Regions from separate parts of the Mus musculus genome. Here regions 2 and 3 are each reported to be linked to region 1. Evidence: microRNA targets listed by miRTarBase, many of them from high-throughput screens and not tested one by one. Region 1 holds a microRNA gene; each other region holds the end of a gene's coding sequence.

Evidence for each region. The annotated mature microRNA mmu-miR-194-5p reads UGUAACAGCAACUCCAUGUGGA and lies in region 1 at 4,920-4,941, opposite strand. An mRNA with a match to its seed (bases 2 to 7 or 8) in the 3' UTR can be bound and repressed. Matches are read on the target gene's strand: a 7mer-m8 pairs with bases 2 to 8, a 7mer-A1 pairs with bases 2 to 7 and ends in A, and an 8mer does both.
Region 2: the mRNA of Arl6ip6 is a reported target of mmu-miR-194-5p. Seed matches in the 3' UTR shown: 7mer-A1 at 5,360-5,366.
Region 3: miRTarBase lists Set as a target of mmu-miR-194-5p. Seed matches in the 3' UTR shown: 7mer-A1 at 4,948-4,954.

Annotation. Positions count from the first base shown.
Region 1 is chr19:6,258,964-6,269,598 of GRCm38, reverse strand. Mir194-2 (microRNA 194-2) reads right to left here and starts at 4,956; the gene lies at 4,871-4,956. Mir192 (microRNA 192) reads right to left here and starts at 4,755; the gene lies at 4,667-4,755. Atg2a (autophagy related 2A) reads right to left here. Exons shown (of 40, transcript NM_194348.3): 37 at 10,614-10,635; 38 at 9,456-9,610; 39 at 8,075-8,227; 40 at 7,295-7,998. The coding sequence ends at 7,762. Gm14963 (predicted gene 14963) reads left to right here. Exons shown (of 2, transcript NR_168273.1): 2 at 1-805.
Region 2 is chr2:53,213,396-53,224,030 of GRCm38, reverse strand. Arl6ip6 (ADP-ribosylation factor-like 6 interacting protein 6) reads right to left here. Exons shown (of 4, transcript NM_022989.4): 4 at 4,810-6,736. The coding sequence ends at 6,643. Among named protein-coding and RNA genes, the nearest start is that of Arl6ip6, 27 kb to the right of the region's middle.
Region 3 is chr2:30,066,820-30,077,454 of GRCm38, forward strand. It overlaps Set (SET nuclear oncogene), which reads left to right. Exons shown (of 8, transcript NM_001204875.1): 1 at 1-74; 2 at 1,450-1,507; 3 at 2,141-2,283; 4 at 2,508-2,611; 5 at 2,699-2,812; 6 at 3,366-3,536; 7 at 3,622-3,768; 8 at 4,100-5,758. The coding sequence starts at 2. The coding sequence ends at 4,123. Among named protein-coding and RNA genes, the nearest start is that of Set, 5.7 kb to the left of the region's middle.

The DNA of each region.
Region 1 (10,635 bases):
TGAATAAAAACTAAAGGGCTGAAGAGACAGCTCAGAGGTAAAGAACATTTTTTACTCTTGCAGAGGAGCTGAGTTCTGTCGCCAGCACCCACATGGCAAGTCAGAACCATCTATAACTCCATTTTCCAGGGTATGTGACACCCTCTCTGGCTTCCTGGTACCCAGGGTATGCAGACAACATACATGCACACAAAACCCATACATATAAAATATTTTTTGTTTGTTTGTTTTTGTTTGTTTGTTTGTTTGTTTTGGTTTTTCGAGACAGGGTTTCTCTGTGTAGCCCTGGCTGTCCTGGCACTCACTTTGTAGACCAGGCTGGCCTCGAACTCAGAAATCTGCCTGCCTCTGCCTCCCGAGTGCTGGGATTAAAGGAGTGCGCCACCACGCCCGGCTTATATAAAATATTTTTTTAGAAAATTAAAAGTAAGTAAAAGATAAAGAGTGGGTAGCTGTGTAGCTGAGTGGCCATCTGGTATGCAGAAGGCCTCAAGTTCAACCCCTACTGCTGCAAGCTGGCCGGGGCACTCAGTGACTTCTAGAAGCCGACTGTGAATTGAGAACTAGACTTGTGAATTGAGAACAGGGTTGCATCAGTGGGGCGGACCTACATTTGGCAACTTTGTGGTTGTGTAAGGGTATCATATTTTCTTAGGAGATACATGTTGAAAATTTTCATGGTGAAGGGTCATGACCTGTATGCTGGTCTCTAGTAGTTCGGGAAAAGTGTGCGTGAGGGAGAGGGGAAGCAGATGTTACCCTAGAATGCCAGCTGTCCACGAATCCAAATAAAGGGTCCATGGTTGTTGATTGTTCTGTTCTTGCAACATTTCCGAAGGTTTCACAATTTTCAAAAAGAAAAACAAAGTGGCCTGAACCTAAGAACCCCTCCCCTCAACATTGGAGACTGGCTTCCCATTGCTTCTAGCCCTAAGGAGAACAGGTGCTAAGTCCATGTATACGGAAGGTGTGAAAACAATTATATCTTCATTCATACTGGAATACTGTCCAGTAGTGAAAGAATAAACTAGGGTTCCAGAAACTTCAGGGGAACTTGGCCAGCCCCAACCACACCACTCCCTGTATATTAACAGTGGCGACCCAGTATGTGGCTATTACACGAGGACCCATTTTCAAACCCACTCAGTGGATGACAAAATTGTGGCTGGGTATAGCTCAGAGGCGCCAGGAGAGACCCTGGGGAGATGCTGTGCTTGGCTTAGGAAACAGCAGAAGGACGTGGGGTGGGTCGTCTTGAGGCATGAAACAAGAGGTATCATGGGTGCCCCCTGGTGGCGATCCTAGGGAGTGAGGCTTGCCTAAGGCCAAGGTACCTCCTCAGGGTCGGGTGGCTTTCTCCCCTTTCTGTATGTATGTGCTCCTGGCCAACTGCCACCCTTCGCTGCAGTAAAAGCTGAACTCAAATTTATCTCTCAGGGATCCTTCTTGGTCATGTTCATCCAGCTCAGACTCCTTTCTCTACTGGCCAGTTCTTTGCTGTGGGATTGTGAGTCAGGAGGTTCCTGGGTGCTTGGCTAGCATAGCAGTTCCACGTGTGTGCCATGCTGACGATGGTAGGGAAGACAGCCGACGGCACCTCAGGATCTTCTGTCCCCAGGCACTATGCCAACCCTCCTCATAATGTCCCTCTCAGGAATCTATTCACACAAGTGGCAGGTCCTCCAATAAACATTAAGGACTTCCTGTGTTAGTCTTGGAGGCTACAGGGAACACAGCCAGTGACCGTCCCTCCCAGGGGTCCACAGGTTGTAAAGGAAATAGACACTAGTGATGAGGTGTGACAGGGTCACTAACAGGCCACCTTACACCAGGGAATTGGATGGAACAAGTGACTCAAGCAAGTTTCCAGGGACACAGGCACGTATCCTGGAGGCAGTGAGGTATCTGAGTGGAGACTGGGAGGGAGCCAGCAAGGAACGATGTTCATAGGTCTAGGGTCTGCTGCAGAAAGACCACAAGTCAACAGGGGTCAAGACACTGGGCCAGAGAGAGCCGGGGGTGCTCTGAGTTGAGACATTTCCCTGAACCATTAAAGGCTTTTATGAGCTTGGTGGAGACAGATGGAGGAAACCCTGGCCAGGGGCAGCCTGCCATCCCCTTCCATCCTAAGCTAGCGCCTGGGATGGAGTAAGGTCTGGGCCCAAGAGTGTCAGACTACAGCGTCCATCTGTTCAGCCAGGGCATCTCCAGGACCTACCACACCGGTAGGTGTGGAACCAGCTTTGCAAAACAAGTAAGCTGAGGGCTTTGTTCTCCAGAAGATGAGAGCAGGCAAGGATAAGATGCACAGTCAGACAAGGGAGGTGGGAGAAGCATTCTGAGGATTCAGGATTCCCTCATCTGCATCTTAGCTGTGGTGGATAGGAACCCAGGGGTGGAGAGAGCTGACGTAGTGGAACCAAAGACACTCAGGAATGGAACCTGAGATAAAGCTGGGACCTTAGTCACCCATGTTTTTGCACAGGTTTTTAGAGAAGGTCCTGTGTGACTTTGGCCAAAGGCAAAAGGGTGGCTTCAAGTTCCAAGCCAGCCTGGGTGATAGAGTGAGAGAGACCATGTCTCAAAAATATACAGAAAAGGGGGACTGGAAAGATAGTATGTAAGAGAACATGCTGCTCTTCACAAGGAGGCACCTGTGCCAAGGGTCTCAGGACCATCTGTGACACCACCTGAGGGTATCTAACCTTACCTTCTGGCTTCTGTGGGTGCCTGCATACATGACTGCATGCACACCCACAAATCTTTTTAATTAATTAATATATTTATCTATATTTATTTACTCTTTGTGTGCAGCATGTGTGTGGAAGTCAGAGGATAAACTGTGGGAGAGTCTCTTCCCACTGTGTGTGTACCAGGGATTGAATTCAGTCTTTAGATTTGACAGTGTCTTTTTCTGCCAAGCCATCTTGCTGGCCCCACATATCTTTTTAAAAAAGACAAAATGACACTTGGTGTACACCTTTAATACCAGCACTCAGGAGGCAGAGGCAGGTGGATTTCTGTGAATTAAAGGCTGCAGAGCAGTTCTAGGACAGCCAAGGCTACACAGAGAAATCCTGTCTCAAAACACACCAACAAACAACATAAAACAGAGAATAAAGTTGACGCTTCACTGGGCTATACAAGACCACCAAGAAAATATTTAAAAAGAAAACATTTTTAGTAGCAGGAACCAGTTTTTCAAAAAGACATTTCCCCAAGCCCCACTGTTAAGAAAAGGACTTACAGGTACACTAGAAAGCCTGTAATCCTAGCTCAGGAGGAGAAGGCAGGTGGATCTCCAAGCTCTACACAGTGAATTCCTGGCCAGTCTGGTCTACATACTGAGACCCTGTCTCAAAAACAGTGAAATAAAAAGGGTAGGAGTGGGGGCTGGAGAGATGGCTCAGTGGTTAAGAGCACTGACTGCTATTCCTAAGGTCCTGAGTTCAACTCCCAGCAACCACACTGTGGCTCACAACCATCCATAACAAGATCTGGCGCCCTCTTCTGGAGTGTCTGAAGATAGCTACAGTGTACTTACATATAATAAATAAATAAATCTTAAAAAAAAAAAAAAGGGTAGGAGTGGTGTGACACAGGTTGGGATTACTGCATGTGTGGTCGGTCCTGCCCTCTCAGATGGTTCTCCATTAGCCTTGGCTGGACCTCAAAAGTGAGACTTGCAAGAGAAAGGAGCATTTGGAGTGGGCCCAGCCTGGGCCCTAAAGTCCCCTGCCATTGGCAGTGCGAGATGGAATCGCAGAATGTTTGCAAAACGTAATTGGTGCATCTATGGGCTTGAGGGCTTGGGGCCGAGCTCATGGGTGGTAAGCATATGGACACACAGCACAGATTAACTGTGCCCAGCATGGGACTCAGTGGGCAGTGGTTAGGGGGCGCGCCTGGGAGCAAGCCAGAGGCCCTGGGAGCCCTGGTGGCACTTGGAATCAATCACTTTTAAGAAAAGCCCTAGGCTTGGTGGTGCACACCTTCCCAGTGCCTGGGAAGCAGAGGCAGGTGGAGTTCGAGGCTGGCCTGGTCTACACAGTGAGTTCCAGGATGGCTAGATCTACATAGTGAGACCCTGTCTCCAAACAAAAACAAAAACAAAGCCCAAGAAGAATCGCAGGCTGGGAGTGTGTTCCTGCCTAGCATGCCCAGTACCGTGAATAGGCAGGCACGGGACATGCTCACAATCTTAGCATTTAGGAGGCATCACCCTACACTACACAGTGTGAGGCCAGCCTGGGCTACATGAAGTCTCTGAAACAGACACAGACACTGCTGTTTGGTTTGGAACCAGGCCGATGAGTGCCACCCATGGCACTTCAGGGACGAGCTTGGGCTGAGCCTGGGAGGAGATGAAGAGTGCTCTTGGTGCCATGCACAACGGTCAAAGCCCGAAGACCTATGCGCTATGCAGGCAGAGACAGGTTCAAGGCTAGCCTGGACCACACAGCAAGTTCCCGCCAGCAATCAAAGAAGAACCTGGCAAAGAAGCTGGGAAGGGAACACACAGGTGTCCTGAAGGGCAGTCAGGCAAGGTTTCACAACTGGAAACAGGAAGGAGGGAGTGTGAGGAAGGAGGAGGGACCTTGACTTTGATACCCTCCCCCACCCTGACTCCCACCCTGCTCCTTCGAGTCGTTATGGCTGGCATTGAGGTGAACATACCTGTGACCTATGGAATTGGCAGCCAGAGGAGAGAAAAGAGTACTGGCTGTCAATTCATAGGTCAGAGCCCTGTGCACGCCATCTTGGCAGCCTGCTGACAACCCACCATTCGTTGCCTTCCCATGCCTGAAGACTGCTGTGTAGGTTCCTCCTGGCATGCTGGGTGGCTGTGGCTCCTCTTCCTCTGCTGGTACTAGCCGCCACCCCAGATAACAGCAGCCCCACTGGAACCAGTGGGCACTTCCACATGGAGTTGCTGTTACAGAGGGTGGGAGCCACGGGGGGTCAGCACAGGTGCAGGGACCTCCTCTCTGCAGGATCCTGGGAAGAGCCCCACAGCTGCCCACTCATGCCCGCAGGCCTCTCGGCTCCAAGTCCACACTTTTTATTGAGGCTTCTTATCATTCATCCAAGGCCCACACCTGGCACCCCATAGGACGCCAACCTCCCTGAGCGAAGTCCAGGCTCAAGCCCAGAGCCGCCTCATCAGACTGGGAGCGGCTCTGATTTACAACTCTACTGCAGCCCACGGACACCCACACCCTCGGCTCCAAGTTCCCTTCTGGTTTCCTCCTTCCCTTCTAAACAGAGCTGAGGCCTACGTTCAGGCCCACCCTCCTGGCTGCAACCATGGGACAGAGGGACAGCAAGAGGCAACTGGATTGTAATCTTGCCTGAGGGTGGCCCTACCCAGGAAGCTAGAGACAAGAGAAGACTGAAGGAACAGGAGGGATGAGAGAAAGAGGGAAATGAGGCTGAGAAGGAAAAGGACAGACGGGAAGCTAGAGAGGTGAAGGGAAGTGGGGAGGGGGATAGGTGGGCAGGGACTCTCAGGGGTAGAAGGCTTGGCTTAGGGCTCTGGGCTTAAGCATCAGCACAGGAAAAAAAGGAAAACGTGAGAGTGGGGTGCTGCTACCCAAGCAAGCTCAGTGAGTGCCCAGAGCAGGGCCATAGGTGGCCAGCACCTAGAACTCAGAAGCTCGGTAATCTAAGCCAGCAAGGGCCTTGGAGCTGTGTGACCTCAGACAAGTAGCTTAACCTTTCTGCAGCACTACACTCCCTACCTTTGGGGGCCATCTTGCACACTTTCCTTCCACCCATTCTGTCCCTGCTGTGACAAGGAGTTTCGAGGTGGGACCCCTGAGCTGACCCATGTCTGGGAATACATCTGCACTCTCATCCCTTCCAAGATTCTGGCCCAAGAGGCTTCACTGATGGGGCCGTGTTTGTCCTGCTGGGACTCAGGATTCTAGAAAGAAAGGGAAGCCTCTAGAGTATGCTTGGATCATGCCCCATTCGGCAGTGGTAGATAAAGGCCCAGAGAAGCAGCAGAGCTGCCAAGGGAGATGCCAGACTAGATGGTTTCCGGTTTCCCCACAGCCCAGTAGCCCCCTCAAGGCCCAGCCTCCTGTTCCATGAGGCCCTGGACATCTAGAAGACAGACATGGCTGCTTAAGAATTCTGTCTCCATAGAGCAGGGAAGCACCAGCCACTTTACCCAAAGGTGGAAACAGAGCCACAGGACAGAACTTGCTCAGAAGGGCTGATGGCTTGGCAGGAAGGCTTGGAGTCGGGAGCCTTCAGCAGCCTTCTGGAGGACAGCCTGGGAGCTCTTACCTTGCACCTAGCTGGCCTTCGGGGCACAAGGAGGAAGTGGGGCCACCCTGGGCCAAGCCTTTTGAGCCGTTGGCCCAGCCCTGGTTGCGTTAATGATTAGCCCACTGCCATCAATACTGACCCTAAGAGGGGTCCGAAGGGCAGCAGACCTGGACTGTGCCCCAGCTGGCAGGGCGGGTCCAGGAAGTACCAGACTGGGTCTTCAGCTACCCAGTGCCACCAGACCCTGGCCACCCATGGGCTTCATTGGCTTGACCTCATGCCTAGTCTGTTGGCCCTAGCTAGCCAGACAGCCAAACTAGGGGATGGGGCACAAGGAAGTCCTCTCATGCTTAATACTCAGGTCTATGATGGGGGCCAAAGGAGGAGCGACCACAGCTAACTTCAGGGGGAACCAGGGATGCCCAACAAGTGATCCTTCCCACAGGCCCACCCACTTCCTGGCAGTGCTACCGAGGGTGGCTCCCCGTGAACAATGAACGTGGGATGGTCAGCAGGCATCTTCTGGACAACACAGCTTTGTCCCAGCATAAGAAAGCCACTCTCTCAAAATGGTGGGAATAGGCCTCAACCTCCCCGAGTGGGACACCCTGGACACTGCCACGGCTGGCAGACTAACAGATGTTGCCTTAGGTCACAGAGATTCCCAGGACAGGCCTGGAGCCCTGCTTCGCTCCAGCCTCAAGAATAAGGCTGGAGCCTGGGGTCTGACAGGAATAGAACCAAGGAATGGGGTTTGATGCGGACTCTCAGGGACTCTTCCTCTGGGGCTGCCAGGCAACTTCCCCCAGCTTCACTTGGAAGTAGTGCCAAGATGACAGGCACCAGGATGGTAAGTAGGTTGAACCCAAAGCCTGTTTGCATCAGAAGGCTGAGGGTGAAGTGTGGCGCCTCCTGGTGGCAGGAGGTGTGTACTGCGTGCAGAAGTGGGAACTGGCAGATCAAGGCTTAGACAGAGTGGGGCAGACTGGGGTCTCACAGGTACAGAGGACCTGGACGTGGCCTGGGCTGGCGGTGGGCAAGTTTATTCCACTTCATGCAGACACTGACCCACACGCTCAGAGATCTTAAAAATACACCGACCCACATGGCATCTATCCCCCACCTCCCCGTGAGACACGGAGAGACACTTGGCTGAGTGGGGTCCATGGGTCCAAAAGCCTCCATCCTCATTCTGGAACAAGGCAGCAGTGTGGGCCCAGGTAGCAGGGAGAAGCAATGTCCTTTCTCCCCAGATGAAAGTGCACAGACAGGGCAGAGGCCCCAAAGCCGGGAGGCCCCACTCTCTCGGCCAGTTGGCAACAAGCAGGCTGGGCAGGTATCCTTCACAGTGGCCATCCTTTGAAGGACCTGGTGGCCTAGCTGTGGGTCACAGCAATCAGGAAAACAGGGAGCTGGTGGCACCACTGTGGCTGGCTGGACACGGTGAGCATGTTGGGACAGTGGGTGGATCTTGGGTGCCTGCAGTCAGTCCTGGGCCTCCTCCAATCGCCACTTGAGAGCATGGTCCTTGTGCGCATCTGGAAGGATCTGGTTACGCATGCCCCCTAGCACGTTGGATGTTGCCTCTGTTGCTACGATTATTGGTTTTACCACGGTTGGGGGGAGCTGTCGGATCACACCCCCCACGGCACCTGTCAGTCCCTTCTGCTCATGGCCCCTGGATGCCACATCACAGATGGTTTGAGCTGTATCCAGGATACCCTGTGGAGGTCAGAGGTCAGTGAGAATGAGGGGTGGGCATGGGGGCACCTGCAAGTGGGTCTAGGGTGGTCCTCACCTCTCGAACAGCATCATAAGCCTTAGCCATGCCTTCCCGGAGGTCAGCAGGTTGTTGACCTCTGCGTAGCTTCCGCGAAGAGCGCTTGTCTTGTAGGGATCGGGAGACAGGAGAAGCCGGGGACAGGATGTCATACACTGTCTCAGCTGTAGCCTGAAGGACACCAGGGTTGGATGATGGCAGGGTGGCCTTCCCTTGCAGGCCACCCTGGGGACCAGACCTTCCAGCATGACTATTCCTGTCCCAGCCAGTCTTTGCCTCACCCCCCCACTCCCCTCCCATCACCTACCGAAGAGAACTTCCTACATTTTTGTTAAATATTCATTTATTTTAATTTGTGTGTGATTCCAAGTGATGCAGTACCCCTGGAGGCCAGAAGAGGGCACTGGATCCTTTGGCGCTGGAGTTACAGCCACCCATAAAGCGCTAGAAACTGAGCCCCAAGCCTCTGCGAGAGCAGCTTCAGCCTTAACTGCTGGGCCACCTCTCCACCTCTTCAAAGGACCTCCTTAACTGAAGGAGACATTTATACACCCTTCCAGGGCTGGTAAGATGGCTCCCAAGGTCAAGGCATTTGCTGTGAGGTGACCTGAAATCAATCCCCAACCCTAGAGACTCACATGGTAGAGAGGACTGAGTCCCAAAAATTGTCTGACCTCAAATACAAGCCATGGCACACACACAAAGAATAAATAAGAAAGAAGAAGGAGGGAGAGGAGGAGAAGGAAGAGGAGGAGAAAGAGGAAGAAGAAGAGGAAGAAGAGAAAAGTCTTTTGGGCTGGGTGAGGTGGTCATGGTTGAAGGCACTGGAAAACTTTCCTGTGGGCCTCCCACCTAGGCTGGGCATGCTGACACCTGCCGGAGCTGTCTAGTTCCCCACTAGAGGGCACCCCTGTACAGTTATCAGAACAATAGAGCCTTCTGCCCACCACCCCTCTGGCCTGTGCCCCCTCCCACTGCAGACCCCTGGAACTCTGCCCTCCCCTCTGAGGGCTGAGCTCAAAGCTCTCTTGATGCAGTGTTTCCACATACCCGCAGACACACCCAGTCCTACCCCAGGACTCAATCACTCCCCTGAAGACCAGGGCTTTGGTAGGGGGTGGTCTCTGGGGCTCAGTGAAACACAGAACCTGGAAGAACTAACTGGGATGGGTCTCTGCGTCTGCTCCCTGGACACGCATCACTTCCAGGCAGCTGGAGCATGTGACATGGTCGGTTCTGACGGCCCAGATGCACTTTGGCTCCACCATGGGAGCCTCCATGGCATGTGGCTTTAACTGTGCCCAGCCTTTTCAAGTTTCGGCTTTCAGGGGGACTGTGCAGACAGAGTCGGGAGCCCAGGGACAAGGGTATCTATTTCCTGTTCCGGCCCTGCACTCACCTGGATGGCCTGGACCAGCCTGTTGCTCAGTTCCAGAGCAGCAGAGGCTGTGGATGACCCAAAGGAGGCAGCCCCACGCTGCAGCCCCCGAATGAGGCGCCCATCTTTCCTGTACTGCTCGATGGGTAGCCACAGCAGGTCCCGGAACCCTTGGACTAGAAGACAGGATTATCAGAGAGGCCAAGCCTGCCCTGGCTTTTCTTCTCTGCCCAACGACCCTTTCCCAATCCAATTTCTTTTCCTTCCTTCCTTCCCTCCCTTCCTTCTTTCCTTCCTTCTTTCCTTCCTTCCTTCCTTCCTTCCTTCCTTCCTTCCTTCCTTCCTTCCTTCCTTCCTTCCTTCCTTCCTATTCTTGAGACAGGGTTTCTCTGTGTAGCTCTGGCTGTCCTGGAACTCACTTTGTAGACCATGCTGGCCTCGATCTCAGAAATCCGCCTGCCTCTGCCTCCCAAGTACTGGGGTTAAAGGCCTGTGCCACCACTGCCTGGTGCCAGTCCAGTTTCTCTTCCCTTAATTTTTTTGTTAAAACAGAATCTTGCTAAGTAGCTTTCCCCGGGCCCTATTCAGGTTGCTTTTGTGTTCTTGAACTAAGTAAGAAGCAACCCTACCGTCCGTGCTTCCCCAGCGCTTGGATTACAGGTGCGTGGCACAGTACCTGCATCCAAGTGCAATTTCAAAAGTCCTCAGGCTTGAAAGCACAGGCCAGGTATGCTGTTGCATGCCTGTGGTGCCAGCCTGGGCTCAAAAGGAAAACAGGGTGCCAGTGCCCTGTGACCCCAGCATTGGAAGGCAGAGGCAGGTGGACTCTCTGAGTCCAGGAACAGTGAGTTCCAGGACAGACAGAGCTACATAGTGAGACTCTAGTTTTAAAAAAATAGCCAGCAGGATGGCTCAGCAGGTAGAGGTGCTGCCACAGGTCTGCTGACCTGTGTTCACTACTGAGGGCTCGCAGAGTGTGAGGAGAGCATCTGTAAGCCGCCCTCTGACGTCCGTATGTACTCTACGGCACACACAAAGTAAATAAAATTATTTCAAAAAGGGTAGTCTTCCCTGGGAACCCCTCCCACTTTGGGGAGCTTTCTTACTTCCCTTGGTCCATATTTGTTCTGTAAAAACCTCCCACCTAAACAAAGCAGAGCTCTCAAGGCAGACACTCACAGAGCTGCACAACCGAGTGCAT
Region 2 (10,635 bases), not on the chromosome of region 1:
TTTAGTTTTGTAGCCCCAATTTTAACTGGGTTGTTTTAATTTTTTTCAGTATTTTATATATTTTAGGTGCTAACCCTCTGTCAGATGTAAAATTGATTAAAATCCATTCCCATTCTGTAGGATATTCCTTTGCCTGAAAGATGGTGTCGTTTGGCATACAGATTTTCAGCTTTACTGGGATCCCATTTTAATTGTTCTTAGTGCCTGTGCTGTAAGTGTCCTGTTCAGAAAATTATTTCTTGGGTCAATGTCTTCAAGCCTATTCTCAACTTTACCTTCTACAGATTCAGGGTATCTTATGTTGAGTTCCTTGATCCATTTGGTTGCAGGGATATAGGTATGAATCTATTTTCAGTCTTCAACATGTAGCCATTTTGGCTACATGTTGACCAGCACCATTATTTGGAAATGCTATCTTTTCTCTAGTTTTTTGTTGTTGTTAATTTTTTACTGTTTTGCGTCTTTGTTAAAAACCATGTGTTCAAAGGCATGTAGACTTATTTTTGATTTCTAACGTGTCTTTTTATGCCAGTACCATTTTTTTTCTTACTATAGCTCTATAGTACAAACTGAAATCTGTGACAGGGATACCTTCAACAGTTTTCTTATTATTTTGAATTAATTTTAGCTATTTTGATTTTGTTTGCTCATTTACATATGAAGTTGAAGATCGCTTTCTTCAAACTTTGTGTTGAAACTTTGATAGGGAATGCACTGAGTATGTAGATTGCCTTTGGTGGGATGGCCATTTTCACAATACTAATCTCACTGATCCTTGCTTGAACCTGGAGATCTATCTTCTGGTGTCATCTTCAGTTTATTTCTTCTATGCCTTAAAATTAACTTTACTTTTATTTGTTTGTCTAGAGATACTTCAAGATAATTTATATAATTTCCTTTGAGGCTATGTTGAAGATAGTTTCTTTGCTTCTTAGCATATCATTGATATATAGGAAGGCTACTAATTTTTGTATATTTTTAGATTATTCTTTGATCAAATATGAGTTATAAAAGTTCCCTCATGCAAATTTTATAGTATTTTATGTATACAAATCATATTATCCACAAGTATACTTTAAGTTCTTCCTCTCCTTGTATTCTCTCGATCTCCAGCAGTTCATATTGTTCTAGCTATTGAACAGATATGGAGAGAGTGGACATCCTTGTCTTGTTCCAGATTTTAGTGGTAATGCGTTGAGATTAATGTAGGTGGTGGGATTGCTGTAAATTACCTGTATTATGTTGAGGAATGTCCCTTTTATCTCTAGTTTCTCCAGGACTTTTATAACAAAGAGATATTGGATGTTGTTAAAAGCATTTTCTGCACTTAAGATCACCGTGTGTTTAGCCAAAATACCCAATAAAGGAGAGATAGAACTTGTAGAGATCATATCCAGTGGTTAGGCGTGACCCCCAGTTGAGGGATGGAGCCACCCACCCATCTCAAAAATATTAATCCAGAATTGCTCCTATCATAAGGAAATGCAGGGACGAGTGGAGCAGAGACTGAAAGGTCATCCAGAGACTGCCCCACCTGTGGATCCATTCCAAATGTGGATACCAAACCCAGACGAATGCCAAGAAGCACTTGCTGACAGGAGCCTGGTATAGCTGTCCTGAGAGGCTCTGCCAATACAGATGGCAGGTGCTCACAGTCAACCATCAGACTGAGCACCGGGACCCCAATGGACGACTTAGGAGAAGGACTGAAGGAGCTGAAGGGGTTACACCACCTTTGGAAGAACAATATCAACCAACAAAATCCCCCAGAGCTCCCAGGGACTAAACCACCAACCAAAGAGTACACATTGCTCCAGCTGCATATGTAGCAGAGGAAGGCCTTATCTGGAATCAATAGGAGGGGAGGCCCTCGGTCCTGTGGAGGCTTGATGCCCCAGTGTAGGGGAATGCTAGGGAGGTGAGGTGAAAGTGGATGGGTGGGTGGAGTAGTACCCTCAGAGGCAGGTGAGAGGGTATATGGGGTTTGGAGAGGGGAAACTGGGAAGGGGGACATTTGAAATGTAAATAAATAAAATAACCAATAAAAAAATCACCTTGTGTTCTTTGTCATTCAGGCTGTTTATGTGGTGGCTTATTGATTTATGTATGTTGAACCACCCCTGCATCTGTGGGATGAAGCCAACTTGACTGTGTTGCATACAGACAGCCTGTTTTTATCAAGGTCAAACCTAAATTCAGAGCAATCTGTAACTCAATCCTCCCCTTGGCATTTGTATGTCCCTACGAATACTGCAAGCCAATCTGGTGGCCAGAAGGAAAGTGCCTTTAAGTGTATTTTGGAGGGAAGCATATTTTCAGGAGGTGGCTTTGATCTACCATCACCTCTAAAGCTCTAAATAAGGCCTGACAATCCCAGTAACACCACTCTTCCTTTAAATATGTGAACCTATAAAATAAAATTGCTTTCTTTTCTCCATAAATCCCAGAAAGTCCATATAAATCTCTCTACATGGGCCATTGCTCTTTTCTTCTAGGAACTCCAAGTGCTAGCTTTTGTTGTGTTCAACACAGTAATCATAAGAATCTTTTGCTGTGTTCTAGAATTTGATGTACCATATTGAGAAATTTCACACCCATATCTCAAACAATTCTTACATTTGTTGATATTTTGTAATGTTTTTGTTGCTCTATTTCAATTTGAGCCCTAAACTTATTTCTTGCCATCTACTCTTTTTGGGGTATTTTTGTTTTTCTAGCATTTTCAGTTGTCATTAAGTTACAAATATGATCTCTCTAGCTTTTGACATCCTTAAGAAAAACTGTACTCCAGACAATAGACCTCAACATTAAGTCAGCATGATCCCCTTGCCATTCTGTTTTTCCTTTGCAATGTTTCCTTTGTCCACTGTCTGCTCTCACCTCTTATTGCTCTGTAATAAACTCTACACTTACATAACTTGTTTGAATTAATTCAGAAGAGAAAATAAAGACCAAGAAGCTCAAGAAAGTTCTGTACAGTAAGATGATCTAAGATAGCTACACTTGGTGTTGAATAAAGTTTTAAGAATATTGGCAAACCAAAGTAGAAGTATAAAATGTGATGTCATTTTATCAATTTACCTATAAATTGGGGAAGGGTGTGGGGTGTAAATATTAAGCCAAAGCTTGGAACATCTAAAAGAAATTGACTGAAGCACTGTTGTGGCAATCATCTTAAGCTCTGGAGAAACCAGGGTGTTCCAAAACTTCCAAGAGAAACAGCATTTAAACTGAAGGCTTAGTATCCAGCAGACTGGGTAAGCTGAGAACAAAACAACAAAACAAAAACAACAAACCTTGAAAAATGCTTTTAAAGGCCTTTGCTTCCCTTTCCAGGGAGATAAGCTCAGTTTATGTTGTCTACTACCTGAGGCTATCAGGCTTGTATCCACGGGTTAGTGAGTACATTGCACTTGACTAGTTAGTTGTGGTTTTTTATGCTTTAGCTTCGAATATCTTCTTGGGTCCTGGGCAACTAGATATGCCAATTAAGTCTTATTTTCCATGGTCAGATGGTTTTACTTGAGATATAGGATTCTAACTAACATGTCAAGAAAGTTAACAGAAATGTAAAAATACACTGAAACTTTAAATATAATTAACCAGGGTTCTATTTTTCAAAGAATCCATTTTTAGTATTTGATAGTGTGTGTATGTGTGTATATATATACAGATACATATACATGTAACACACACACACACATATATATACAGACATAAAATTCCATACTATACTTATTCATAACATGCTTGCATTCTCAATCTTTCTGGTTTTTATGTATATAAAGGTTTACTTGAAAGTTTTGCCCAGTCCTGCTATTTATTCTTAGTTCCATTAGTTTCAGCTCATGTCTTAATAAATATATTTGAAATTACAAATTCTATTATGTGTCTTAACCAGGTCTTACAGACATTATTGCACCGTTTTCAGTTTGAAATGTCTTAGCTTAGTATTTTTTTCCATTTAGCAGGTAGAAAAACTGGGAAACTAATATACTAAATATTAGATTCAATACTGATTCAATACTTATATAAGTAGAGACTAACTTCTGATAATACAAAACTGTGGTAGCATTTAAAGGATGTCTAACTCAATTTGGGAACAAAATTCCTGATGAAGTAGTAAAATCAGTAGCTGGCTTGACACTAATATCTCCTTTGAAGTCTTTGAGACCAATCACAGGTACAGTCACAGTGACATAGGTACACTCACAGGGACATCTAATTGAGCTGGATGATTCTGTTAGGTGACACCATCTTGACTCTGTGGTGCAAGTGACAAAAGCCTATATAAACAGCAGAAACAAATATATCAAAACACTGTAACCAAGTTTCAAGCATGGCAGGTGGTCAATAGGTTTTCAAGAGTCAGGAGAATATCATTAGCAGTATTCATCTCACCTTTATCCTTTTGTACTATGCTTGGTTCACATGGTTGCCAGCATTTCATGGGATCCTGTCTCCCAGTTTTAAGAACTTAGAATCAACCTGAAAAAAAAAAAATCCTAGAAACTGGCTGATTTGAATCACACCCCTCTATTTTTACTGCAGTCACTGAACAGGAAAGAGTTTGGTCTAAGAAAAGTAACCTCAGGCCATCACTTTCCTCATACATGGTTTATACTGAAACCTAACAGTAGGTGTGGAGAATGAAGGGATATATTCCAAAGGAGACTGCTAGTTCATAAGACATAGTGTTCTAGAGAAATAGTGTATTATATGTCCTGTGTATCTACATTATAAGTGAGGTGGCTACCTTGTGTCTGAAAAATCGACTATAATAACTTTAACCTTGCCATTACACACAAAGAAGTGGAAGGAGCCATTTTAATTGGGGTGATAATGGGAATGGGGCTTTACACAGGTAGAGAGGAGATAAAATAATTTTATAATTTGAACATATCTTTGTAATAAAGAGTCCTTTAAGGGAAAGGTAGAAGAAAGAATGTAAGATGCCTGAGAATTAAAAAAAAAACACTAATTCAAATACACAGATTTCTTTTTCCCCCTGAAAGATAGAACATGAAGTTGGATGGGTGGGAGGTGGAGGGAAAGGAGATGATATAGAAAGAGTTGGGGGTAGGGAATCGTGTAAAAAGAATAAAGTCAAAATATATTGTATGAAAAATCCAATAAACAACAAGAACAATCATTTTAAAAAGCATAATTAGTAGGGCTATTAAGTCATGAGACTGGCATTTAGTAAGAATCTATCTATCTATGTCCCTCTTCATCACTCACTTTAATTGGAACATTATTAGCCATTTCCAATTAAATGGAAATGACCTTTTTTGGAGAATATAGAGAAAATGTTGAGACTTTTAGAACCCTTGTGTAGTAACAACAGTAGGACTGCAGATGTAACACACACACACACACACACACACACACACTCACTTGCCACTTAGCTAGAATACACACTGACTACACAATGTTTTCCTAATCTAAATTTTCCTACAGCCAGGACAAACAGCTGTGTAAACCACACAACTTTCTAAGATTGAGGTGACTTTCTACATACTTAAATAGCAAGCAAGACAGAGAAACATTTAAAGCTTAATTAATAACAACAAGAACCCTTGATATGACAAGTACAGTATCTATAATATATTACAACATACATATTACAGTTAAATTATATGTACACATACAGAGTATCAAAATACCTTTTCTACTTTGGCAACTAAATACTCGAGATTAAAAATAAACAAGTTCAAACATTTCTACATACAAAATTTTTAGGTTTTCATTTACTAAAAATGAAATAGTACAAGTTTGCTACCCTAATATATACATCAAAATAAATACTTTCAATTGTAGAAAATAGAAATGGCTAAAAGTCTCAAATTTCTTAACATTATAACAACAAATAGTTTACCCTGAATTTGTAGTATGTTTTTGTTAAAAAATATATTTACTTAATCTTAAACTCAAGTCAATGTACTTTAATTCTTTTTGAAGAGACAAAATACTAAAGGACAGGTCTACACCAGCTAAGAAATAAAATTTACAGCCATATAGGTATAAATGTAATCATTTAAAACACAAATGCAGTATTATAAAAATCTATAAGACACCCAGGTACACTCCACAAAAATATAAATGCACATATGCATTCTACTGATTATCAAAAACTCTGATTTATGTAGCTTCTACAAAATGTCAAAGAATAGGAATTGTTTTCTTTTTTATGAAATGATCTCATTGTGCAGCTACAGGCTAGCCTCAAACCCACAGAACCTGCTTCTGTCTCCAAAATGCTGGGCTTGAAGGTCTTGCTAACACACTTGGCCTCAGTACTGTTTTCCTAATATAGTATATAAATATTTCTACCTCAACCACAAATATCAGTATCTGTTAGTAAAAAATGGAATATACATAGAAAGGTAGGCAATGTCATGTATTCAAGTTTCCAAGTTTGATTTCAATTCAAATATTTTCTGTAACTGATAAACTACATAAACAAAAGTAAAAAGATGAAGTAAACATCTTATACATTGAAGAAGTGCCCTCTATAAGGTCTTCCATAATGATGATAGTAAGTATCTGATCACATTTCAAAGTCTTCTGAGTCAGCAATTTCGTTTCTGCTACTTCAAAAACCATCATGACTTTCACCAACAACGTTGCTCTAGTGTAGGTTTACATGAGGCACCATGCCACAGTGAGAGCAGCGACAATACCATTCAAAATTGCCATGCTGTAGCCCATGTGGAAAGAATGTCCAGTCAGTTTCCTAGTGAAAAAGGGAAAGAGCACAAATTAAGAAAAGGGAAAAAAAGAACATGTAATTTGGTATGAGAAAACGAGTAAGATCTAAAATAAAACTAGTAAATACTAAAATACTTAAGATATCACAATGAGTTGTCATATCCCCCCCCCACCTCCCCCCCCCACCCCCCCCAGACAGTGTTTCTCTGTGTAGCCCTGGCTGTCCTGGGTAGACCAGGCTGGCCTCAAACAGAAATCCACCTGCCTCTGCCTCCCAAGTGCTGGGACTAAAGGTGTGCACCACCATTGCCTGGCTAGTTGTCCTGTTTTATACATTAGTGTATAAGTTAAAAAATACTGGACACTTGCAGGATTTGTACAGGATTATCCATCTTAAATTCTCTTTTAAAAGTCTTCGTAGGGACTGAAAAGGTGGGTCAGTGGTTAAAAGAGCTTCCTGCTCCTCCAGTGGACTGCCCAGCACCCAAACTGGGTGGCTCATTATTGCCTATAATACCAGCTCCAGGACATCCATAGGCATCTGAACAAAGGCACAAATGGCAAACACAGCACATACACAAACACACATTACAATCTTAAAAATAAGCTAACAAGAAAGTCCTGATTTCCTGGATAAAAATGTATTTTTAATTTTATTAGTACAAAGTCGATTGTGTGTGTAGCATCAGCAAATTTGTTACATTACAAGCAAGTCTTCTACTAATAGCACTTCCCTGCCCTCATTCTTATTTAGCGCTAGCTTAAATAGATGTTTCTCCAGTATTTATCCTGGTCATATAATTTTTTTTTTCGGTTATAGAAAGAAGCTATTCCTTTGAGCTTATGTGAACGAGTTAAACTTGAACACAAATGTCAGCTTTCATCTTAATATGACTATTTAACTGTAGTAGCTTCCAACAAGTTTCTAAATGACAGCAAAGAAACATCTCTAATTTATGATTACTGAGTTTCAACTACTTCACAAAATTTATGTACATGTAATTTTTCCTGACACTTGCTTCTTATAAGTTTTTTGCAGGCTGGGCAGTGGTGGCGCATGCCTTTAATCCCAGCACTTGGGAGGCAGAGGCAGGTGGATTTCTGAGTTCCAGGCCAGCCTGGTCTACAGAGTGAGTTCTAGGACAGCCAGGGCTACACAGAGAAACCCTGTCTCGAAAAACCAAAAGAGTTTTTTGCTTGTACTTTTCTAAGTATTCCATTAACTACATTGTAATGATAAGTTTTTTGCTTATTGTAGCAGAATGGCATATTCTTAAAAAGGGGACGGCAAGATAGCTCAGCAGTATATATGTCTAACATCTGAGTTTAATACTTGGAACCCATGGCAGGAGACTCACAAAAGGTACATTCTGACTGCCACACATGTGACAGGTAAAAGTGCCTGTCATGAAGTTTGATGAACAGAGTTTGATTCACAGAATCCAAGTTGTTCCCTGACCTGATAGCCAAACTAGCATATAAGCAAACAAACAATAAATGTAAAAAGAAAAAGAAATGAAGGTTGTCCTCAAATATTGCCAGAAGGCCAAGTGTGGCAGCTGGCTGTGGCTTCCTGGTACAGAGCTACAGGTCTGGAGTAAGTTACAAAGGAATGGAGGCAGGCTACAAGGAGAGGCTGAAAGGGGCTACCAGAGGGAACTAAACTAGGAGGATCCTGGATTTTCACTAAGATGTGAGTAGCAAAGGAGTGGAGATAGGCTTGGGGAGGAGGGGTCCAGGCAGGATGCAGCAGGACTAATGTTAAGTCTGAAGAGATTGCAAAAGAAGACAGGAAAGAGGATGACACTCTCCTACCTGAGTTCTAGCCTACTGTAGAAACATAAACTTCTGATTCTTCTATCTCTACCTCCAGAGTGTACCACCACACCCAATTTATGCAGTCAGTGCTGGTATTCAAACTCAAGGCCCCATAAATGGTAAGCAATCACTACAAGAACTAAGCTATATCCCTACCTCTAAAACTGCTTGAGTACCAAATAGAAAATTAAAAGAAAAAGAGCAGGTGGGCGTGGTGGCTCACACCTTTAATCCCAGCACTTGGGAGGCAGAGGCAGGCAGATTTCTGAGTTCAAGGCCAGCCTGGTCTACAGAGTGAGTTCCAGGACAGCCATGGCTATACAGAGAAACCCTATCTCGAAAAACCAAAAAAGAAATATTGTGAATAATGTCAGGTTTCCTTAACAATACAAGTTTTTTTTTTAATAAAAGGTTTATTTATTATTATATCTAAGTACACTGTAGCTGTCTTCAGATGCACCAGAAGAGGGTGTCAGATCTCTTACAGATGGTTGTGAGCCACCATGTGGTTGCTGAGATTTGAACTCAGGACCTTCAGAAGAGCAGTTGGTGCTTTTTAACCACTGAGCCATCTCTCCAGCCCCAATACAAGTTTTGATTTCTTAAATTTAAGAGACACGGCAAGGTTTACAATAAAAAAGAAGCAGTATGGTGTATGTACAGAACCAGAAGTAGAACTCTCAAGATTTCATTTTATCCCTTTGTAGACTTTCTTTCTAGACTGTCTCCTGGTCTTTGTGACTCCACAGGCCTGTAAAACCTCACTCTATACTGCCAAAGTGGCCAAGAATCTGAGAATAGTAAGTCATGAGCCTAGGGAAAACCTACTACTATTATTCTGTTAAAGGATCTTAACAATAAAATGACTCCTGAAAATATACTGCAATACCCATAGATCAGAGTATCCCTCAACCATCATCAGAGAAGTCTCTACTTGTAATAGCTGGGAACTAACAGAGACACTCACAACTAAACGATGTGCAGAGAATGAGACTTGAGTACACATCCTTGAGTGGGTTGTCTTTATCAAAACCCTCAAAGCTCAGAGATCTACATGGAAGAGAAGGCAGAAAGTTTTTAATAGCGAGAGGTGATGGATAACTCTACGGAAACAACATCTTTCATATAGACACAACAGGACTGATAAACATGAACTCAAAGAGACTGAAAGTACACACAGAACTGCACAAGTTCAAACCACACAAAATCTCACTGCTAAGAAGGGAAAGTGGACAACCCTTAACTAAAAAGATAAACTGATACTGCTGGCAAAGGAAAATCAGTTTTCTCCAATACTGTTACTGGGTATGTGTACTGGCTAGTTTTATGTGAACTTGACACAAGGCAGAGTCACCTGAGATGATGGAAATGCCTTCATAAGATCAGGCTATATGTAAGCCTGTAGGGCATTTTTTAATTAGTGGTTGACGTGGGTGGTGCCACCCCTACACTGGTGGTCCTGGGTTCTATAAGGTAGCCCAGAGGAGCAAGCTAGTAAGTAGCACTCTTTCATGGCCTTTATATCTGCTTCTGCTTCCAGTTCCTGCTGAGTCCTGCCTTGGCTTCCCTCCACAGACTGTGATTGTGATTCACAATATGTAAGCAAAAAACCCTCCTTTACTCTTGTATTAGTTAGGGTTCTCTAGAGAAACAGAACATATAGAATGAATATATACATATTATTATAACACACACACACACACACACAGAGGATTTCTTAACATGGTTTAGATTGTGGTCCAGCTAGTCCAACAATGACTATCTGCCAAGAACAGGTCCAAAAATCCAGTAGTTGTTGAGTCCACAAGCATGCATGTCTCAGCTAGTCTTCAGTATATGCTATAATCCCAAAGAAGGAAGCTCTAATACTAGTGAAGAAATAATTTGCAGGGGAGAGCAAGAGCTAACAAGCGAAAAGGGAGCAAGTGTCTTTCCTTTATACCAGAAGAAGGTATGGCCCATATTACAAGTGGCACTTCCCACTTCAAGTGATCTAAGAAAAGAAACTTAAATGTGAACCCACCATCTTGGACTTAGTTAACTTCAGACTTGGTCATGGTGTTTCATCACAGCAGTAGAAAAGTAACTAAGACAGTGGGTGTAACA
Region 3 (10,635 bases), not on the chromosome of region 1:
CATGTCTGCGCCGACGGCCAAAGCCAGTAAAAAGGAGCTCAACTCCAATCACGACGGGGCCGACGAGACCTCAGGTGAGGACCGGGCGCGGCGGGGGCCCGGCCGCGCCGCCATCTTTCGGCCCGGACCGCGGGGCTGCGGGGGGCGCGCGGGGGCCGGAGAGCCGGCGCCTTTTTTGTGTGCGGCCCGGGACCGGGGGGCCGGGGTGGCGCCGTGGCGGTGAGCGGTGCGGCCGAGGCGGGGGCGCTGCGGCCTGCGCGGCGGGCGGAGACCCCCCCTTCCCCCCGCCCGCGCTCTCCTCCCCCTCCCTCCCTCCCGAGAAGCCTCTCTTTATTGTGCTCCGCCATGATGCCTCGCTCCCATCAGCCGCCACCGCCGCCACATGGTGCGGCCGGACGCAGCCTTGCGGCCGGGCCTCTAGTGCCGCCCTGCTTCCCGCCCTGAGCCGGCGCTACCGCGGAACCGGGAACCGGGGTTTGGGGCGGGGTAGGGGCGCGGAGCCGGCGGGAGGATGCTCCAGGCTGCGCGGGTTGCGCACCCCACGTGGGGCAGCCACACTCGGGCGCGCCGGGGGTGCGAGGAATCTGGCCCCGAGGCCGTATGATGCAGGGGCTTCAGGGGCCTTTAGGACGCCTAGCCCTCGCCTGGAGGGTCGTTTCGAGCCCAGGACAGCTGCAGAGCCCGGGCTGGTTACCGGAAATGAGACGCGCGATCGGGCCCCTTCACGCCCACTTGGCTTTGTAAAAGCCTTCACAACCCTCGGACAAAAGGGCACGAAATAGGAGCACACCCCCTCTCCTTTTTATGGCTCCAAGTTTTTGAGTAGGGTTTTCCCACGAAGTGTCCTGAAATACTGCACGGCCGTATATGATGACCAATCTCATCAAGAATGGGTTGAAGGAGTAAGGTCAGGTTTACATTCTAAGTCTGAGAAGACGACTCCGGGAAGTTTGGTGACTAACTGGTCTTTGTCGGTGTATATTGATAATCATAACAAATTGAGAGCACTTTAAATTTTTTTAAAGCAGTTATAACAGTTGATAGTATCCTAATTTGTTTTATGGCCATGGACTAGTTTCCACACTAAGTGGCAGCTGGCACTGGCACCCTTTCTCTTACAATTGTATAATATTAGTAATAAACATGAAAAATTCTTGAATGAGGTGAAGCCTCTCATTCACCTTTAATAATGAAGGCCAATGATTGCACCTTTGTAACGAACGAAACTCTTTGAAAAGTAATCCAGGAGTGAAGCATTTTTCCGAGTAGCGGAGTAGATGCCTTAATTTGTGAATGGTAGGGTAATGAGAAAGTAATTCTCAACTGCGTGCTCGAACACGTGGGGAGCATGCTTTGTGGTGAGCTTCACTGTTGCAGTTCCCATCCTGGGATCAGGAAGAGGAGCTTGTAATTAGTGTTGAGTCTTATGTCCCCTTTCTTGTTTTGCAGAAAAAGAACAGCAAGAAGCAATTGAACATATTGATGAAGTACAAAATGAAATAGACAGGTAAAATATATTAATTCATGTTATGGAAAGTTCTCTTGTGGAACTGATTTGGCATCAGGTAACTACAGGAAGGTTTTGGTGAGCACACTCGTGTTTCAGTCTGGTTATAACTCCCGGGTTAATGTAATCTTTCCTCAGCCTTCCCAGGTGCGGGGGTACTGTAGGTAGGGTGCTCTTTCAGAGGTGCAGAATTAGAGTCTGGCTGCTGCTACCTGGGTTTTTTTGGTTTTTCAGAGACAGGGTTTCTCTATAGCCCTGGCTGTCCTGGAACTCACTCTGTAGACCAGGCTGGCCTCAAACTCAGAAATCCACCTGCCTCTGCCTCCCAAGTGCTGGGATTAAAGGCATTTGCTTGTTTTGTTTCTTGATTAACCTTCACTTACACTTTCTGCTACTGGGGACACAATAACTATTTGGAAATACAGTATACAGAAATACAATGTTGCCAGACTGGAGATGAGCTGAGTTAGCTCAGTGGTTTTGGTTGTCAGAGGACTGGGCTGCAGGGTAGCAGATACTCTGTTCCTAAGCAGGGAGAGAAAAAGCAACAGTGTTACCAGCATGTGTCAGTTGGGTATTTAGCCTTTCCATCTTACCGCCTTAGGTTTTGATTCTAGTCTTTATTTGTTTCAGACTTAATGAACAAGCCAGTGAGGAAATTTTGAAAGTAGAACAAAAATATAACAAACTCCGCCAACCATTTTTTCAGAAGAGGTCAGAATTGATCGCCAAAATCCCAAATTTTTGGGTAACAACATTTGTCAACCATCCACAAGGTATGTGGTGGGTCAGCACTGCTGGTCTGCTAGGACCTGGAGCTTGGGGAGCTCTGGGGACAGTTACCTCACAAAGCTGCAGTTGGGACAAGAATAGTCTGTTTGCAGTTGGTGGTTTTAGTAGAAAGAGCAAAGTGGAAGGGTGTTCGCTGAGTTTTTGAACATTTAAAAGGGTCATTAAGTAGTCTCATTCCCACTTGAACTGAACTGAGTTGCTTCTCTAGTGTCTGCACTGCTTGGGGAGGAGGACGAGGAGGCTCTGCATTATTTGACCAGAGTTGAAGTGACAGAATTTGAAGACATTAAATCAGGTTACAGAATAGATTTTGTAAGTACCTAACCTCCTGCTTAGCACAGTGAGTATGTAATGGTATGAAAGCTGATCATTGACTGCTCATCATTCCATATTTTACAGTATTTTGATGAAAATCCTTACTTTGAAAATAAAGTTCTCTCCAAAGAATTTCATCTGAACGAGAGTGGTGACCCGTCTTCAAAGTCCACCGAAATCAAATGGAAATCTGGAAAGGTATTTTGTATATCATGGCTGGTTTGCACACAGTGCCTTAGATGCTGGGTAACTATGCAGAGATTCCAATGAACAGAGGAATCGGGATAGGAACCCCACACTGCATTTGTCTTTGTGCTGCATCGTCTACAGTATCTGCTCAGGCTTTCCGGCTCCATTTTTGGAGACATAGGTTTGAATTGGAGATTTAGGGTGGAAGTCATTTAATTTTTTTATTTTTTATTTTATTTATTTTTTGTTTTTTTTCAAGACAGGGTTTCTCTGTGTAGCCCTGGCTGTCCTGGAGCTCACTTTGTAGACCAGGCTGACCTCCAACTCAGAAATCCGCCTGCCTCTGCCTCCCGAGTGCTGGGATTAAAGGCGCCTAGTGGAAGTCATTTTATGAAGTCAGACAGTTGATAGGTGTATCCTATGAAAGCAATTTACAAGACTTTACCAAATGGACATTTTATAGTTCTTAGTAATATGAACTTCTTCACTGGTCTTTGTTGTACTTTATGTGGGGTTTGGGTATTATGGGGAGCTAATAAAGGGAATGTTTGTCTTCATTTAGGATTTGACAAAACGCTCAAGTCAAACGCAAAATAAGGCCAGCAGGAAGAGGCAGCACGAAGAGCCAGAGAGCTTCTTTACCTGGTTTACTGACCATTCTGACGCAGGTGCTGATGAGTTAGGAGAGGTCATCAAAGATGACATCTGGCCAAATCCCTTGCAGTACTACCTGGTGAGTAAGCGTCAGTGGCTTGAAAGAGGTAATGTGTCCAATAGAATGAATGAGTCCCTAAAAGAACATTGCCTGCTGCTCTCAGGTTCCCGACATGGATGATGAAGAAGGAGAGGCAGAAGATGATGATGACGACGACGAAGAGGAGGAGGGGCTGGAAGATATTGATGAAGAAGGAGATGAGGATGAAGGTGAAGAAGATGACGATGAGGATGAAGGGGAGGAAGGAGAGGTAAGGAAGGAGAGGTACACCCAAGCCCCAGTATTTATAAAATATAATGTGTGATAGGGAACTGGCTGGAATAGTGGGACAGTTGTGGGAGTGGAGTGTTAACATCTGAGTCTTCCCTCTTTTTTAAATGTAATTATATATGTATGGGTGATTATGTATGTGTCTGCACTGCATGATTCAGAAGGTGTAGGATCCCATTGGTTTGAGATTGTGAGCCGCTGTGGGTCCCTCCACATCAGTGCTAAGTTAATGAAGATTCCAGTTTAGGCTGGGAGAGCTGGTGAAGGGCAGGGTGCGTGCGCTGGAGGCTGACTGCTCCTTGTTCTTTCAGGAGGACGAAGGCGAGGATGATTAGCACAGAAGACTGATGGATTCCAACCTTCTTTTTTATTTTCTTTTTATTTTTTAATTTTCTCCAGTCCCTGGGAGCAAGTTGCAGTCCTTTCCTCCCTGTCCCTCTGTGCTCAGTCGCCCTGTTTTGAGGTCTCAACATCATGGTTCTCAATTAATTTGGGGGGAAGTATCTTGAGCAAAATACAACAGGAAAAGAATCTCCGTTTCTGTTCTTAATTCATTTTTTATCCTTTCTTGTCTAAATTTGTGGATTCCACACCACCATGCTCTGTGGGAAAAAAGAAAAGCCCTCCAGTTCCCTTGGCTCTGCTGGAGGGCGCTAGGCCCCTGTGTAGTAGTTTATAGAATTTTAGCTTTTCTTCTTTTCTCTGTATATTGGGCTCAGAGATTACACTGTGTCTCTATGTGAATACAGACAGTTAGCATTTACCAACATGTATCTGTCTACTTTCTCTTGTTTAATAAAAAGAAAAAAAAAAAGAAAAAAAGGGGGGGTATAGACGGTGAGCAAGGGTGGGTTTGAGGTGTCTGGGGTAGGTGGGCATCTGACAACATGGCTTCTCCTTTGGCATGTTTAATTGTGTGGTTTAACAGACATCCTTGCAATTTAAGGTGACACTTAAAATAAAATTCTCTCCTGATGATGACTTGAGCCCTGACACTCAATGGGAGAATCAGCAGAACCTGTATGGTTTTATTTGGAGTTGACATTCTGTTGTAATTTTAATTTTTTTCTTTTTCTTTTTCTTTTTTTTTTTTTTTTTTTTGGTTTTCACTGGAAGGAAAAAGATGCTCATTTTAAATGTTGAAGTGTACAAGTTGCTTTGTTACAATAAAATCAGTGTGTACACAAAGGACCTGATGCTTTTCTGTCAACAGATGCTCAACAGACCTTCCAAGTTTGACTGCATAATGACATCACGTCAAACTTTGTCTCCCCAACTTCGTATTTTTTGATACGCACTTTGCAGGATGACCTCAGGGCTGTGCAGATTGAGAAAGGGATTTGAATCATGTCTTAACGTCTCCGTACTGAGTTGTGGGCACAGCTTGCTGCTGTGGACTTATACCCTTGATTTTTATCTCAATTTGGCATTTTCTTTTTAAAATGGGCCTTTACCCGGACCTCACGGCAGCACCTACCTGCTCCCACCGTTACTGACCCGTTGCTCTGTGCCATCTATGAGGGACAGCCGCTGACGTGTCCTCATTGGCAGTGTGAACTGTCAGGGTCAGCAGTCAGTGAGGTGGTTGGTAGTGTCTGTCACAGGTATGTAGCAGAAGCTCTCAGATGTGAGACTGACGTAGGTGGATGAAGAGCTGTCTGCTCAGCGCCATCGGGCAGAGGATAATGTTTGGGAAGCTACCTGATGCGTAAGCTTTTTAATGCTGTAAAATAGAGCTAAAATTCAATGCCACTTTTTCAGAGATGATTAATGGACAGCCTGGTCAAATTCAAAGCTTTCTGATGTATAAAACTTTATAAATGGAACTACTCCATCAATAGGCAAAGTGTAACCAAAATCTGTCTAGATGGATAGTGTGTAATTTCTGCACAGGACTCTGTTTAGTAAATACATCACTGTATACGTCAGGAATCTTGCTCCAATAAAGGAACATAAAGATTTTTTTTGGACTGGGGTCATTCTCCTTGTTTTGTAGTGACTTAGAAGATGCAGTCATGGCTGGGGTTCAAGTGATACTGGCTTGGCAGTAATCAGGGCCCAAATGGTGTGCAGAAGGTTGGTTGTGGACACCAGATTCATAACCATTTGACTCTGCATGTGGTTGGGGGAGGGTGCTGACCTAAATGAATACTGACCCCAGGAGAGAGAGTATATGTGTGTGTGTGACAAAATAGAAATAGCATTGTATCACTGAGCTATGTCTCTACACTCCCTTTTGTTTTTGTATGTGTGTGGGTTTTGGGGAATATGAGCTTCCCATCACCCACTGCACTGCGGTCTTCCTTATGTGTGCTCTGTGTGATTATTTGTATGAGTATTTTGCTTGCTTGTATGTCTGCAAGAACAGTTTTCTGGAAGGACGGGAGAGGGAGTTAAAAGTCCTTGGGCCTAGAGATTCTAGTTCCCCTGCTATTGTTACTATCTCACATAAGAATCAGGTGAAGCCATGCGGTAGTGGTGCACGCCTTTATTCCCATCGCTTGGGAGGCAGAGGCAGGCGGATTTGTCAGTTTGAGGCCAGCCTGGTCTACAGAGTGAGTTCCAGAGAACTACACAGAGAACCCTGTCTCGAAAAAAAGAAAATCAGGTTGAAGTAAGCCAAACCTGGGTTGTCATGAAGGGGTATATGAGACAGGGAAGGGCTAGCATAACAGGCCACATTGCTTAGCTACTGAGCTCTCAGACTGGGTGTGGGAAGTTAAGGTTTCATTGTTTTAAAATAAAAAATTTAGCTGGATGGGGTTGTGCATGCTTTTAATCGGTGGTCTAGTAACAGGCATGTTGAGAGGGTGACTTTCTGCAGCTGCTAGTGAGCTGCTTCCCATCCCAGTTCCAAAGCAGCGTTCCCTGTAGAGCATAGCCTGTGGTTGACATTCCCTGTAGAGCATAGCCTGTGGTTGGGTTGACATGACTGGGGCAGACACTGGAGGCTCTGCGTTCAAGGACATCTAGAGCTGCACAAAGCTCTGCTTTGTTTTGTGGGAGCCTGGCCTACAGAGTTCCAGGACTGCCAGAGCTACAAAAAAGCACAAGTTTAAGCTTTGGTATCTTTGGTTTTTTGAGACCTGGATGTCCTGGAACTCTAGACCAGGCTGGCCTCAAATTCACAGAAATCTGCCTACCTCTGCTTCCCAAGTGCTGGGATTAAAGGCGTGCGCCACCACTGCCCAGCTTGGAAAAAAGGTTTTCGATAACACCACAGCCCTGTGAGTACATCTGTAATGGGACCTGATGCCCTCTTTTGGGTGTGTCTGAACAGCAACAGTGTACTCACCTGTAAATATAAAGTCTTTTAAAAAGTTACTTTGTGTATGTGTGTTGGTGTTGAGTTTGTGTAAAATGTCTGAGCATATGCCCTGTAAGCGGATATTCCCTTGGCGGGGCCACTGGAGCAGGACAGTATTTGTGAACCACCTAATGGGTGGTAGGATCCAAACACTCAGACTCTGGTATACAGATGCTTGTAACCACTGAGCCATTTCCTGAGCACACACCCACATTTAATTGGGGATGGGTGGTCTTGTGTTTGTTTGCATATCTTTTGAGGTGTCTATATCCTGACTGTTCTAGGAATTTGCTATGTAGACCATGCTGGCCAGGTATCCAGAGATCTGCTTTCTTGAGTGTTGGGATTGAAGGCATGCTCTACCATCCCCATCTCTAATTTTTATCAGGTCTAATGGGTTGCAGTTACGTGATATAAGGAATTATAGGATGTTTCACAGCTCAAGCTACATCTGTACTGATTTTACCAGAGGCCTAGAATAGCTGCACCAGTTGGGTACAATAGGAAAATGTACCCTGTATGGAACCTTAGGCGCCTTCAGGCTGGCCAGTCTTAAAAGGCATCTTGGGTGTGGAGCCACATACTGGATGCTAGGCTTGCAGTCTGCCTGAGAATTTGAGCATAGGTGCTTGCATCAGACCGTTCAACTGCTCAGATGCCTTAATGATGGCTTCTGCTCCCAGCTCCTTTCCTTCCATGTGAGGGACTTACTCATTCAGCTTTCTGGTATAGGTGGTTCTGAAGCAGTATTCTATAGAGGGCTGGGGGCTTTCATTTGTGGTGAAGGGTTTGTCTACAATGTATAGAACCCAACATTTGCCCTCAGTGCCACGGAGGAAGGTAAAGCGTGCACATACAGAATCTTTTAGCCACTTGGAAACTACAGTCACTACCCTGGGAGTTGGGGTTGGGGGCTATAATCACATGTGCAGACAACTTTTCTTTCGAGTTGGGTTTGTGTAGCATTCATTGGCTACCTGGGACTCTATACTAGGCTATCCTTGAGCTCTACCTGCCTGCCTCTCCCTCATGATGGGATTGAGGACATGTGCCATCGATCCTGGCTCTTTTTTTCCTGTTTGAGATGACCAAAAGAGAGCTCTGAATCAGATTATTGGTTTAGCTTCTGGGAGTAGCAGTAGTACTTCCTGTTGAGTGAGGGTTTTTTTGTGAGGTGGGGGTGGGAGACAGGCTCACTCAAGAGGTCCATCTGGCCGGGCATGGTGGTGCACACCTTTAATCCCAGCAGAGGCAGGCGGATTTCTGAGTTCAAGGCCAGCCTGGTCTACAAAGTGAGTTCCAGGACAGCCAGGGCTACACAGAGAAACCCTGTCTTGGAAAAAAAAAAAAAAAAAGAGGTCCATCTGATAAAGTTGGACAGTGGTGGTGGCGCCCATCTTTAATCTTGGGAGGCAGAGGTGAACAGATCACTGAATTCTAGGCCAACTTGGTCTACAGAGCCATTCCAGAACAGCCAGAGCTACACAGAGAAACTGGGTTTCAGAAAAGGAAAAAAAAAATCCTTGTGAATGGTGGAATTACAGACATACACCACTGAGCCCCTCTTGAAATAACTTTTTCATTTTTAAAGATTTATTTATTTATTGTATATGAGTACACTGTAGTTGTACAGATGGTTGTGAGCCTTCATGTGGTTGTTGAGAATTGAATTTTTAGGACCTCTGCTCACTCTGGTCAGCCCTGCTCTCTCTGGCCCAAAGATTTTATAAGTATACTGTAGCAACAGAAGAGGGGGTCAGATCTTGTTATGGATGGTTGTGAGCCACCATGTGGTTGCTGGGATTTGAACTCAGGACTTTCAGAAGAGCAGTCAGCCACTCTTACCCGCTGAGCCATCTCACCAGCCTTCGGGAATATCTTTGACCTCTGAACTGTAGCACCGGCAACTCAGAGGGAGAGATTTATGGGTGTGATTCATAGTTTTCATAAGCTGTGGTTCTTTTTCTTGTTGCTAGAGGGTCAGAGATTTAAAACACTGCTCCTGCAAAGGACTTGGCTTTGACTCCTAGCACCTACATGCACTCAATATCTTCTGACCTCCAAAGATACAAGGCATCCACATGGTGCACACACACATGTGAACAAAACATTCCTATAGGCACATAAAAAAAGTCCTGCTGGGCGGTGGTGGCGCACGCCTTTAATCCCAGCACTTGGGAGGCAGAGGCAGGCGGATTTCTGAGTTCGAGGCCAGCCTGGTCTACAAAGTGAGTTTCAGGACAGCCAGGGCGATACAGAGAAACCCTGTCTCGAAAAAAACCAAACCAAAAAAAAAAAAAAAAAAAATCCTAAGAAGTTTTTTGTTTTTTTTTTTTTTTCTTTTTTTTTTTTTTTTTTTTTAATTTATTTATTATATGTAAGTACACTGTAGCTGTCTTCAGACACTCCAGAAGAGGGCGTCAGATCTTGTTACAGATGGTTGTGAGCCACCATGTGGTTGCTGGGATTTGAACTCTGGACCTTCGGAAGAGCAGTCGGGTGCTCTTACCCACTGAGCCATCTCACCAGCCCCTTTTTTTTTTTTTTTTTTTTTTTTTAGAAGTTTTAACAGTGAAAGTAGCCCTCTGCCTGGGTGTTGTGCCACACACTTTATCCCAGCCAGCACTTGGGAGGCAGAGGGAGGTGAATGGGTAGCTGAGTTTGAAGTCAGCAAATGCTATATGGTGAGTCCCTTTCTCGAACAAAAAGAGCAACCTCAGCAGCCTTCAAACGCACCATCCATCTCCTGCTTCAGCCTTTCTGGTGCTAGGATTGTAACCTTGTGTAGACTGGTTCCAGAGGTAGGTTCCAACTACTGCTACTCATAGGATGCCAAAAATGTTAGAGCCAGCCGGGCGTGGTGGCGCACGCCTTTAATCCCAGCACTCGGGAGGCAGAGGCAGGCGGATTTCTGAGTTCGAGGCCAGCCTGGTCTACAGAGTGAGTTCCAGGACAGCCAGGGCTACACAGAGAAACCCTGTCTCAAAAAAAAACAAAAAACAAAAAAAAAAAAAAAAATGTTAGAGCCAGAATCTCCCCTCAGACCTGTTGTTGTTGGTTGGTTGGTTGGCTGTTTTTTGGTTCTTCGAGACTTGATTTCTCTGTGTAGCCCTTCTTTTTGTCTTGGAACTTGTTCTGTAGATCAGGCTGGCCATGAACTCACAGATCTGACAGCCTCTGCTTCCCAATTGCTGGGATTGAAGGCATGGGTGTGGTGTGCTGGCGTTAACGCCAACCACGGTTCTGTCTGGCCCTCTGCACCAGGCACCATAGGGTCTTCACGACCACACCTGGAGGGCAAACCCCCACCCCCTATGTTCTGGGCAAATCCTACCCACCGGAGAAGTCCTGCCCTCACTCCCAGCCCCTTAAAAACCAACAAGGTTGGTTTGACTGATCTAATCCTTATGCTCACAGCACACAGTTACTGAACTTCCTCCTCAGCCCCTGTGGACATCCTTATGCTAAATCAGAACCTTGACTCCCGCTGAGTCAGAAAATGCGTTTTGCACAAGTCTGAGTTAGTTCGTATCTTATTTG